Caenorhabditis elegans: one gene and its partner. The protein of the gene in region 1 interacts with the protein of each later gene in a pairwise test. Each region holds a gene or a part of one and is shown in the gene's direction. Other genes may lie near its edges.

Evidence for each region.
Region 2: the proteins of K01A6.4 (region 1) and unc-76 interact in a two-hybrid assay, tested with the Caenorhabditis elegans proteins (one large-scale study listed by BioGRID).

What each region holds. Positions count from the first base shown.
Region 1 is NC_003282.8:11,737,718-11,742,560, reverse strand, and holds K01A6.4 (Glycine Rich Secreted Protein), read left to right. Parts: upstream 1-2,256; 5' UTR 2,257-2,276; coding exon 2,277-2,543; intron 2,544-2,609; coding exon 2,610-2,654; intron 2,655-2,876; coding exon 2,877-2,942; intron 2,943-2,989; coding exon 2,990-3,466; 3' UTR 3,467-3,572; downstream 3,573-4,843. Other genes in the region: K01A6.7 (Collagen-like protein), read left to right, coding at 3,994-4,314; K01A6.6 (G_PROTEIN_RECEP_F1_2 domain-containing protein), read right to left, coding at 416-515, 798-928, 972-1,078, 1,593-1,735, 1,956-2,074.
Region 2 is NC_003283.11:15,069,316-15,075,572, forward strand, and holds the start of unc-76 (UNC-76), read left to right. Parts: upstream 1-2,444; 5' UTR 2,445-2,568; coding exon 2,569-2,654; intron 2,655-4,256; coding exon 4,257-4,338; intron 4,339-4,388; coding exon 4,389-4,507; intron 4,508-5,465; coding exon 5,466-5,571; intron 5,572-6,257. Other genes in the region: dnj-3 (J domain-containing protein), read left to right, coding at 1-61, 117-153.

The sequences.
Region 1 (4,843 bases):
ATATTTTACCATCCACGTTTGTCTCGGTAGTTTTTCTACGAGCATTATAAATTTGTGTGTCGTCGAACTCCACTCCGCTTATTTCTACAGATTCCAGACTAGCGCGGCAGGGACATTTTTTCTTGAAATTTCAAAGTTTGCACATTCGATTCCAATGAACGTTTCAAACTGAGTCTACTTCATATATTTTCTGTGGTTTTTTAGCCAATGTTCTTGTAATTTGTAAAAAAAAATATGTAACCTAAACCTTATTTTGAGCAAAAATTCATTTTCATTCAATTCACACATGAAAGACAAAAGGCATTGATAATTAAAAATCATAAGTAATTGTTTTAAAAATTATATATCATAGCGAAACCGAAAGCACGCGATGAACATGAAAAGCGAAACAAATTTGGCCGAAGAACCGTTGAAATCACAGAATATCGTCTCCAATTGCAGATCCTTTACGAGAAAATGATCGAAGAGAGCCAGTGTCAAATGAGTGACTTACACTGAGATACGTACGAGATATTCTGAAAATTTCAAGATTGATTTGGAGTTTGTTCAATTAGCAGTATTTTCTAGGAGATATTGTGCATCTTTAGATACCTATGTACTATTAAAATTTTTTGTCACATAAGAAAATAAAATGCAGAATATCTACAGAAAATACCTGAAGTTTGAAAAAAAGGTTCACCGCAAAACACTCGAAAACAAGATCAACCACACTGAAAAAGTCACACAAACCAGTAGACAAATTCAAAAAAAAAGAGAAGTAAAACAGTGCGTAACATGTTTGAATGAATGGCGGATACCTTCGGATACTGTTCCACACTTGCCTAGTACCACGCCGTGACGTGGATTGCTGAGCTCGAAGCAGAAGCTCATTTTGACATTCATTGTCACTTATTGAGGTACGACTATCACCAACATCTTCATCGTCGTCCTAAAAATGTTGAAATTGATTTTTAATAAAAAAGGACGCTTACTTTGACAATGACATAATAAGCAGTTAAAAGTGCTGCCGTGTTAGCAGCCATTGTTGTAATGGAGAGAAGCGGTTGCAGATGTCCAGTCACCAATGCTAATACCATTACTGTAAGATAATCTGTTTTATTGATATTCTTCACAACGAAATTCAAAACCAGAGGAAGAAGTAATTGAGAAAACCCTCTGAAAAATAAAAATAAACACGAATTCAATTTCGTCCTTACTGTATCAATATAATTTATGATGGTCGAAAAATTGTCATTACGCGATTCCTGATTACCTATATAAAATTATATTATTCGAATTCTGAAAATGTTCCCTACTAATAGGCGGGTAATTTGAGTGCACCCTAGGCCAAATATCTTTCATTTAAAAAATTGAAACGGGAAAAAGCAAACGGAAGTTCGAGGAATACCACGTGATGTTATAGGTCATTAATATTTAATCATCATCTATTCAAAAGGGTCAGACTTTTCTAGTTTTGAAAAATCTTGTGAACTTCATGTTTTGATGCTTATTTTATATGGTTGCTTGAAATTAAACGTGTCTTCAAACACGAGGTTCAAAATTCTTGATCAGCAAAAACTGAACTTTAGAACACCACAAAAACTGTGACTCACGGGCATTATTATTCTGAAAATGATTTATGGTGAGCGACAGTGTTGTGATGAATGCAGTTGGAACTTGAACAACGAGAAAACTTATTGTTACAGTCGTTATTAGAATTCGTGTTTGATCTCGAGGAGTTCTTCCGAAACGATTGCTGAAATTAATAGAATTGAATAAAATTGGTGGTGAGAAAAGTTTCAAACTGAAATAGACTAGAAAATAAACGGAAATTGAAGGAAATTAGTTGGAAATTAAGACTACAGTTTTCAACTTCTTTTTGCCTGCCTGGAAGGCAACATTTCAATTGAATTAGAAGACATTTTTAAATACTATTTCATCTGAATTCGTTCGAAAAACACCGCCTTAAAACTAACTGTTTTGTCAAATCGCCCATATCAATTTCGGGTTCTCGAATGAATCCAACATGAAGAAGAGCCAGTAGAACTCCAGGTATCACAAATTGAACAGCAAAATCCGCAAGTGGGAGGAATACCTGAAAAATTGGTTTCATTTGAGACCAGGTACATTCAGAGTACGACATCAATTCTGACTCAATAATTTTTGCATAAAACCTCCCCCACATTCATGATCTACATCATCAAAATCATATAAAATAGACAATGTTCGAATGAGAATTCGTATCAGATCATTTATTCACTTTTCATATTTTCTCTTTCTAATTTGAAGAGAACACTATGTACTCAAAAGCTGTACTACTTGCACTTCTGGTTTGCTCAGCTCTTGCCGCCCCAAAAGCAAAAAAGAACCAAACGGGAAATGAGCAAAATCAGCAAAGCCAGTCAGGTCAGAGACAGACTGGACAAGGCCAGCAAGTAGGATCTCAGCAAGGATTCGGAGGAATGCAAGGAGGATTTGGAGGGCAATCAGGATTCGGTGGTGGAAGCTCCCAGGGAGGGTTCGGTGGATTTGGACAGCAAGGTGGATTTGGAGGAAACTCTCAGGTAACCTTTCAACATAGCTCTAGAAACCTGTTTCAGAAAAAAGTAAAACAAAATTAAAAATTTCAGGGTGGATTCGGAGGACAACAAGGAGGATTTAGTGGAAATTCTCCGGTAACGTTTAGTGCTTCATACGCCTTCCACGTATGCCTAGGTCACCTTGAAGGCTCCCTACGCCTATTTTGCAGTCGTCTTTGATATCTAGCGGCGCGACTGATATAGTAGTTACTAGGCACGCAGGCAGGCATTTTGTGACTCATGGAAGACGTAGTACTAAATCAGATACTAGTTTTGCAATCATGATGTCACGAACAGAGTAATAAAAAATATTTCCAGGGTGGTTTCGAAGGACAACAGGGAGGATTCGGTGGATTTGGTCAGCAAGTTGGTTTCGGCGGGCAGGTTAGATAGGAAATTTGTTTAGAAATTTTTAAACGTAACAAATATAGGGAGGATTCGGAGGTAACAGTCAAGGTGGATTCGGAGGTCAGCAAAGCGGTTTTGGTGGTCAAGGACAGCAATCAGGATTTGGCGGAGGTTTTGGAGGAAACTCTCAAAATGGATTCCCAGCTCAGAGACCATCCCAACAGTCTGGATTTGGTGGACAAGGAATGCAATCTGGATTTGGAATGAACTCTCAACAGGGAGATTTCGGTGGACAGGGACAGCAATCTGGATTTGAAGGAAACACACAAGGACACTCCCAAGGAGGATTTGGTGGGCAGTCGTCTTCTGGATTTGGAGGTCAGCAAGGTGGGCAAGGTGGACAAGGTGGATTCGGAGGATCTACTAGAACCGGTGGAATGCAAGGAGGACAAGGAGGACAAAGTGGATCAAGTGGGTTCGGTGGATTCGGAGGCTTGGGCCAAGAAGGACAACAGGGTGGACAGGAAGGATCCAATGGAAACAACAACCAAGGATTTTAATATGTGATGTTCAGTATTTCATCTAAAAACTGGTAATGTGTTCCACTGCTCTTTTTAACGCTAACTTTAATGTTTTATTTTGACATTTTTAATAAATATTGAAGCATTTTTACAAACACCTCTAAACTCCTATTTCAAAGTCCACTTCGAACTTTAACAAATCGGATTATTCATTGAACAATTTGAACATCAAACGTATGTTTTTACTCGACAGTTTTCAAAAACCACATTTGCCGAACCACGTCATAATCCCATAGAAATCGGTGAAACACTGTGTATAGAGAATATCCGTTATTACAGTAATGTTCAAACGTTAAACAACTATGATTTTTTCGTTTTGTTTTGGAAGAGGGAATCCCCGAAAAGTTATCCAACCGGTATTTTCTCGATGGTATAAAATGAGTTTTTATTGGCTCAGATATCATCAACTTCTAATTTTCAGCCATTTAAGGTTTGTTTGAGAATTTATAACCTCACTTCTAAATATTCGATTACAAAGTTTTAAAAATCCTAAATTTCAGAAAACAATGTCCTACTCCTCTATGATTTTTGTTCTCCTCGTTAGTGTTGTACTTGCCGACGACCAACCAATTCCTCCACCAGTTCAACCAGGCATGGAAGGACAGCTTGGAATAGGGCAACCAGGTTTCAATGGACAACTGCCGGGACAAATTGGAGGAGTTCAACCTGTGATTGGAGGAATTGGGGTTCCAACACTTCCAACTTTACCAACTCTGCCGAGCCTGCCGACACTTCCAACAATCCCACCACCAGGAGTTGCACCAGGTGGAGTTATCGGACAACCAGGAGTTGTCGGCGGAATTAATGTACCACAACCAGGAATATAAATTTTTGCGCTTTGTCTTTTTATTCATATTTATTGTATATATCACAACTTTGATTCAAATAAACTTGAATTTGAATTTGAAAGAAAATTTGAAGGCAACATTATCAAAATAACATTATTTGGGAGAAATTAATCTCAGAATATTGAAGAGCATTAAAACTTGGTTTTGATAATTAGTGAATAAGAACCAACTATACTGGAATTATCTATTCATAAAAAATTATCATGATGTCTTTGTCTGTTTTTACAATAATGGTTACAATAATGGTTAATAATGGTTAATTTACAATAATTACAATAATTTTTACAATGACACATATTTACAAAAATACCATAGCCTGCTTTTAACGCGTCTATAGTCAACGTACATGTGCAGTTTTTTTTTCATTTTTAATTGAGCTTTTGGAATGAAAAAGTAAGAAGAATCACTAACTAAATACCGTTTTCCAAAAATTTTGCTCAACATTTTCTAGCTCAAATGCTGTTTCGATTTAGAGATCTCAAACGCAGAAGTAGATTTTAAATTGGCA
Region 2 (6,257 bases), on another chromosome or scaffold:
TGCTCGTCGTTTTAGCAGCAACTGTCATGGCTTTAATAGGGGCCAATATTGTTTATATTAGGTTCGTATCCTGGTTATTTAGCATTAAACTTAATCTGTAAACGTTTTTTTTCCAGGAAACTACAAGCGGATCGCCTTTCGAAGCCGGTTTAGGATTTTCATTGTTTTGTAAAATAAAGATTTTTACCTAGATATGATATTTTGATTCGAAAATTGTAAAATAATTGTGTAAAACTTCATTGAAAATCAATTAAATACTTGAAATTAGCTTGAAAATTTAGTGGAAAACCAGAAGAGTACTGTAAGCGAATGTCTGCATTGTTGCGTGCCGGCCGGTGTTTGCGTACTCTAAAAATTTGTTTTTTTAAAGAATTGTTTTAAAGCTTTAAAGATTTTTTCTAGCTTCCTCTTGTAAATACTACTTACTATTCCACTCGTGTTTATACTAAATTTACAAATTTCTCTAAAATTGAATTTGTTTCCTTTTTCTCTCTTCTCCCGCCCGGCTCTTCGAAAAGTGCACTAGTTACTCGCCAAAATTTCTCTCTTTTTTCCTTTTTTTTCCAAAAATTTCTCCCTTGTTCTTTTGACGAGTTTAACCAGTCGAGTCGCCGGTATAGTCAACATACACTAAATTGTTTGTTATAGTTCTCCCTGCTCGAAAATTGAGCACTACCACTTCGCAGGTGCGAAAACCAAAGAAAAAAGAGCCCTTTGAGGTCTAATAATCGTTGACTGCATAGTCCAACCAACTTCTTTCATCCAGAAAAAGGGCATAAATCACTCATTGTTATGTCGTAAACAAAAAAGTTTCGCCTTCTTTTTCTCGGCCAAATTCTTCTGGAGAAAAAAACTCGTATTTTTTCGGCAATTTGCAAGCTTTCAACTGTTTTCTGTTCTCGTATCATTTTCTTATAGTTATTTCGATCATAAAACTGAAACAAACTTTCAATTTTGTCAAGGGGTCAAACTTTTTCGGGCGCATGTCTTGAGATAATTGGGCTAATAAAATTAGTTTTAGACCCAGATGCAACATTTTTCTTCAAATTTGTATGTTTCTTGTTAGACATCGAAAACTCAGTTTTTTAATGACTTTGGAGAGATAATCGTATTTTTTCTGATCATGTTACTTTTCTAATGAACCACACCTATTTAATTGTCAATGAACGTATCACGAATAGGTTTCGGGTTTCCACATTTCCAAAATATGTAAGCGTAAGCCAAAGTTCTGTCACTTTTACACTTACTCTTCTGGAAACTGCTTTTTATTTAAAATTTTTTTAAAAAATTTCCTCGTTTAAATTAAAAGTTGTATTAATCAAGAGCGACAATTGCCGTTCGGCAATTTTTTTTGTCGAAAAATTCGGCGAAAAGCCGGTTTGCCGGAAATTTTTATAGGGATTTTTTATAAGCCGGAAACGCTTAAAACTGTGCCTTTTTGAAATTTTTTCCCGTCTTTTCTAGATATTTTCATAGGATTTGCTCCCTTTTCAAAATAAATTTAGGAACATTCATAGGATGCGTACAAATTTGCGGATTAAAATTGAAATTCTGAAGTTTCAGAAAAAATTTGCAAAACTACAATTTGCCGAACATTTTTGGCAGTTGCCGTTTTTCCGGCAAATTCGACATTTGCCGATTTGGCTGAAAAAAATCGTTTGCCGCCCAACCCTGATATAAATCATTGGAAACGTCTTCTGAAGTTGGACCCAAAACTCAATCTCACTTCGATCCCCCATTCCTATATTAACTAGACGAAAAATGATTTCGTAACAAATAATTCATCTATTTTTGCGGCGAACCGATTAGATCGGAGAGGAGTGGACACAATAATATGTCACCGCACTTTTCCTTCATTCTTGCACATCAATCACTCCGATTCTCGGCTCATCTGTGGGTGTGTGTGAGGCGAAAAAAATTGGATACTTGTTTCACATTCTCTCTCTCTCTCTTAGTCTTCTTAGTCCTGAAAAGAATGGCGCCGCTGCTGAGAGAAGGGGTTTCGTATTTCTGTGTTGGGTCTTTTTTCTTTTTCTCTATATTCCACCCCACCAAAACTCCCCGCCCCGCAAAAGAAATGTACACTCATTTTGTTGTATCTCTTTCTCTAATTCTCTCTCTCTCTCATTCACTCTCATTGAGAGAGTCGGTCAGAGAAAGACAACCGGAGGGATCCAATACATATGCGGTTTTCCGTTGATGTCTCTGCGTCTCTATCCGTCTCTTTTTCGTCTTTAGTTGCCTTTGCGCGCATAGTGACTACTGCAGAAGAGAGCAGCAGCAGCTCTGTTTCTACTTCTTCTTCTCCCAAACAACGACGACATTTGGAGCAAAGGCATAGAGCATTCATTTAGTTTGGCGGCTGGAGCCCTCTAGCATCTCTCTCTCTTTGTCTCTGCATCTCTCCAACGTCGTCAGTTTGCCTTTTTCCTCCTTCTTTCTCCCAATTTCAATCCCAAAAAGTCGTCGTCGTTTCCATTCTTCTTTTCTCTTCCACACTTTTGTGTGTCATCCGTTTTTCCTTCACCAAAACCTTTAAAAGTACCGATGCGTTTTGGAGAGGTGGCAATGGAGGCTGCAGATCTGCGAGTACCGGACATTCCGCTCGCCTCGTGTGATGATGATGATATCGATAGTAATAAGAATTTGAGCAAGTGAGTTTTTTTTTTGAAGCTGTTGGTGGGAGAGTGCAAAAAAAATCTTGAATTTTGCTGGATACTAGAGATTCCAAACTCCCTCACAAGTTGGAATTATGATCGTGAAGGCTTGTGATCCTCCGGTCATGTGTAGATTTACGCAGTTCGTGTACTCCGCGAGGAAAAGCGTACATTTTTTTGCAAAGGATTTAACAGTTTTTAGCAAGAAAGCAGGATTTCGGACCATACCAATTAATTTTTTTAAATCCGAAGTTTAAAACAGTGTTTTTAGGTGAAAAAAAATTACGTGATAAAAATATAGAAAACTAAAAAAAATAGTTTCAATTCCAGATTTTTAGTCAAAAATATAATTGCACACTTCTCCTCGTGGAGTACACGAGCTGCGTAAATCGACTCATGGCCGTTTTAGAGGTTCACAGTATTTTTCATCAGATATTTAGGTTACTGTAGCAATTTTTTAAGCTCTGGGCCTTTAAGAAATACTGTAATGTTGTATCAATATGAATATCCCTATTAAAAAATTTTAAATTCACTTTTTTAATATATATTTGGAAACCACCTTATTTATAAATAGGTTGTAGAGGTTTTTTTTGAAAAAAAAGCTTATTATCGAGCTGAAAAATTCAAATTAAGAGGGCATTTATTGAAAAAAAAATCGCAAAACTATAACTTCCCACTAGATTTTTTTGTAAATTCCTAGAAAGAACATCAGTGCACTTCTTTATGGTCCTTCGAATTCCTAGAGAACAAGAAAAATTCGCAGAAATTTTCTTTTAGTGCTTCCCTAAGTGTTTCTGACATACGTTCGATGGCCTCGTTATATCTTTTTTCTATTTCGAACATGCCAATAAAACTGGGCCCCAATCCAATTGAACGAGCCAAGTGTTGTAGAGCAGCAGCAGCAGAGGAGAGGGTACTTAAAAGCTCATCTTCTCACCCCCTCACGGCCATCCACACACACACACACACACACACACATACCCCAATACACATCCAAAAGATACACATTATCTAATTATCGGATCTTCATACTATTTGGGGGTCCTAAAGAGGATGGGGTGAAGCTGAAGAAATACATATTATGGGGACGCAGAAAAAATATAGAAAAATACGCTTTTTGAAATCGAGATGTAAGCGCGCTCCGCTGCCAAGTCTCTAAGTGCCCCGCCTCTAAACTTTGGGTCTCGTTAGGTATTTAGTGGTAAAACTAGATTTTTCGACTTTTTGTTATGTTTTATGTTCTTGTTTAGGATATTTTTATATCGAAATTGATGGAATTATAATTCACACTTAATAGAAAATATGTTATCACTTCTCAACTTCATATGAATTAATAAATATCATTTTGACATAAGAATCATGAAAAACAATCAAAAACGCAACACAATGTCGAAAAATTCATTGAATACGGATGAAATCGGTTAAAAAATAATTTAAAACGTTTGAATTTCCTAACGAGACCCGACGTTTTGGGGCGGGACATATTGATTTGTCGGTGGAGCGCGCTTGCACTTCACTTTCAAAAATTGTTTTCTATTCTGCGTATCCATAATATGAATAGATGAAAGGATAAAAATTAAAAAAACTTGTAACTTTCAGCCATTCATCAGACGAGAAACATCACTGCAACAGCAACAGCGACGAGGAACGTCTTCATGACGAGTTCTCTGGATCCCTTGAGGTTGGACTTCTTGCATTGTCACACTCTTTTCAACATTCTTTTATTTTCAGGACCTTGTCGGCAACTTTGACGAAAAAATTGCGGCATGCCTGAAGGACCACGAGGTGACGACAGCGGATATTGCACCTGTGCAGATACGTACTCAAGAGGAAGTTATGAATGAAAGCCAGTGAGTTTTTTGGATTTTATTTGTGGATTTAAAAAAATTGGTTGAAAAATTAAAATTTGGGATCTAAAATTATTTTGTTAAAGTTCCATAAATCGTAAAAATTCATAATTCTGTTCAGAATAGCACCAAAAAATTGTAGTTAAATCCAATTTTTTAAATTAAAAAGTAAACTAATTTATAGCCTTTTTTCATAAAAATTAGTGAAAAATGGAGCAATTTTGAAATAATTTCTACTTTGGAACGAATTAAAAAAAACTAGCCCGAAAAAAAGCCATGTGTCGATTTACGCAGTTCGTGTAATCCGCAACTAGGACAATTTTACAGTTTTTGGATAATATTCTTAGTTTTTGACTATTTTCGCAAGTTCTTTTTGTATTTATCATTCAAATTGTTAATTTTCTCGCTTTCCAACTTCAAATGACAATTTTCGTAGCAAAGGTCTCGCCCCGCGGATAAGTAATTACTGTCACTTCTGTCAATCGTCAGGTTTTTTTAAAATTCTTATTTAGATTAAAATTCACTTTTTTTCAACTCAAGCTACAGTAATTCGTTATCCGCGTGGCGAGTGAGGTATAACAAAAAATCTCCATAGTTGAAGTAAATTTAGATCCTTTTCCCGAAAACGCTATAAATCAGAAACGGCTCGAAAATTTGAATTCAAAAGTTTTTTCGAAACAGCAGTAAAACCCTCCTCGTCGTGGACTTCACGAGCTGCGTAAATCGACACATAAAGTTATAGTCATTATTACATAGAGTGCCTATAAACACAGAAAACATATTATTTTCTTCTAAAAATAAGAAAAATGGCCAAAACTCTCAACTATTTTTTTAAGAATTCAAAAAAATTCGAAATATAGTGAAAACGAGCATTTTGGATTTTTTTTTAAAAATTAGTAGTAAAACATAAAAAATTTGTTTTTGAGTTTTTCCAAAAATTAAGAAATTTCTAAAATTGCAGAACATGGTGGACATTAACCGGAAACTTTGGAAACATTCAACCTCTCGACTTTGGAACCTCTTCGATATGTAAAAAGATGGCCGCAGCTCTGGACAGTGATTCATTGGTGAGCAGAGGGTCCCCGGATCTTTTTGTTATTCACTTTGTCTTCCTTTTCTGTTTTTACTATTGCCTTCTTCCACCATCAACGTTCTTCTTGTTTTTCCATCTATCTTTTCCACTATGCTCATCTCTCACGCTCATCGTCTCCAGCTCCTTCCACTTGAGCATCAACACTTCTTCTTCTTCTTCTTTCTCTCTGTTCTCTACAATCGATTTATAGCACTCACCGGAGGAGTCAGAGAGACAGAGAGAATAAGAAGAAGGCGTCGAGAGCCGATGCTCAGAAAACTCTTACTATGTGGAGAGCGGTGTCCATTAAATACCACCCCTTCTTCTTTTTTTTTGGGCAGTTTTCAATTTCCCGGTTGTCATTATTTGAAATATGCGACTACCGTAATCATTTTCTGAAAGATCACGGGATTCCAATTTCCATCATGTTTGGAATGCGGAATTGACTTATTTCAGAGTTTTTAAGTTTTAAATTAAAAAATTTTAATTTTTTACATTCATATTTTGGGGAAAAAAATTAACAAACCAATTTGTTTAAAGAAAATGTTTGTTGTTTTCTTCAGAAGCAAAAGCGTCATCGAAACAGTTTCAATGTGGCTGACGAGAATAAACTTTAAAAAAATTTACTATTAAAAATGGGAAAAATTTTAAGCTATTCTCCGAAAATCCTACTTTTTTTTC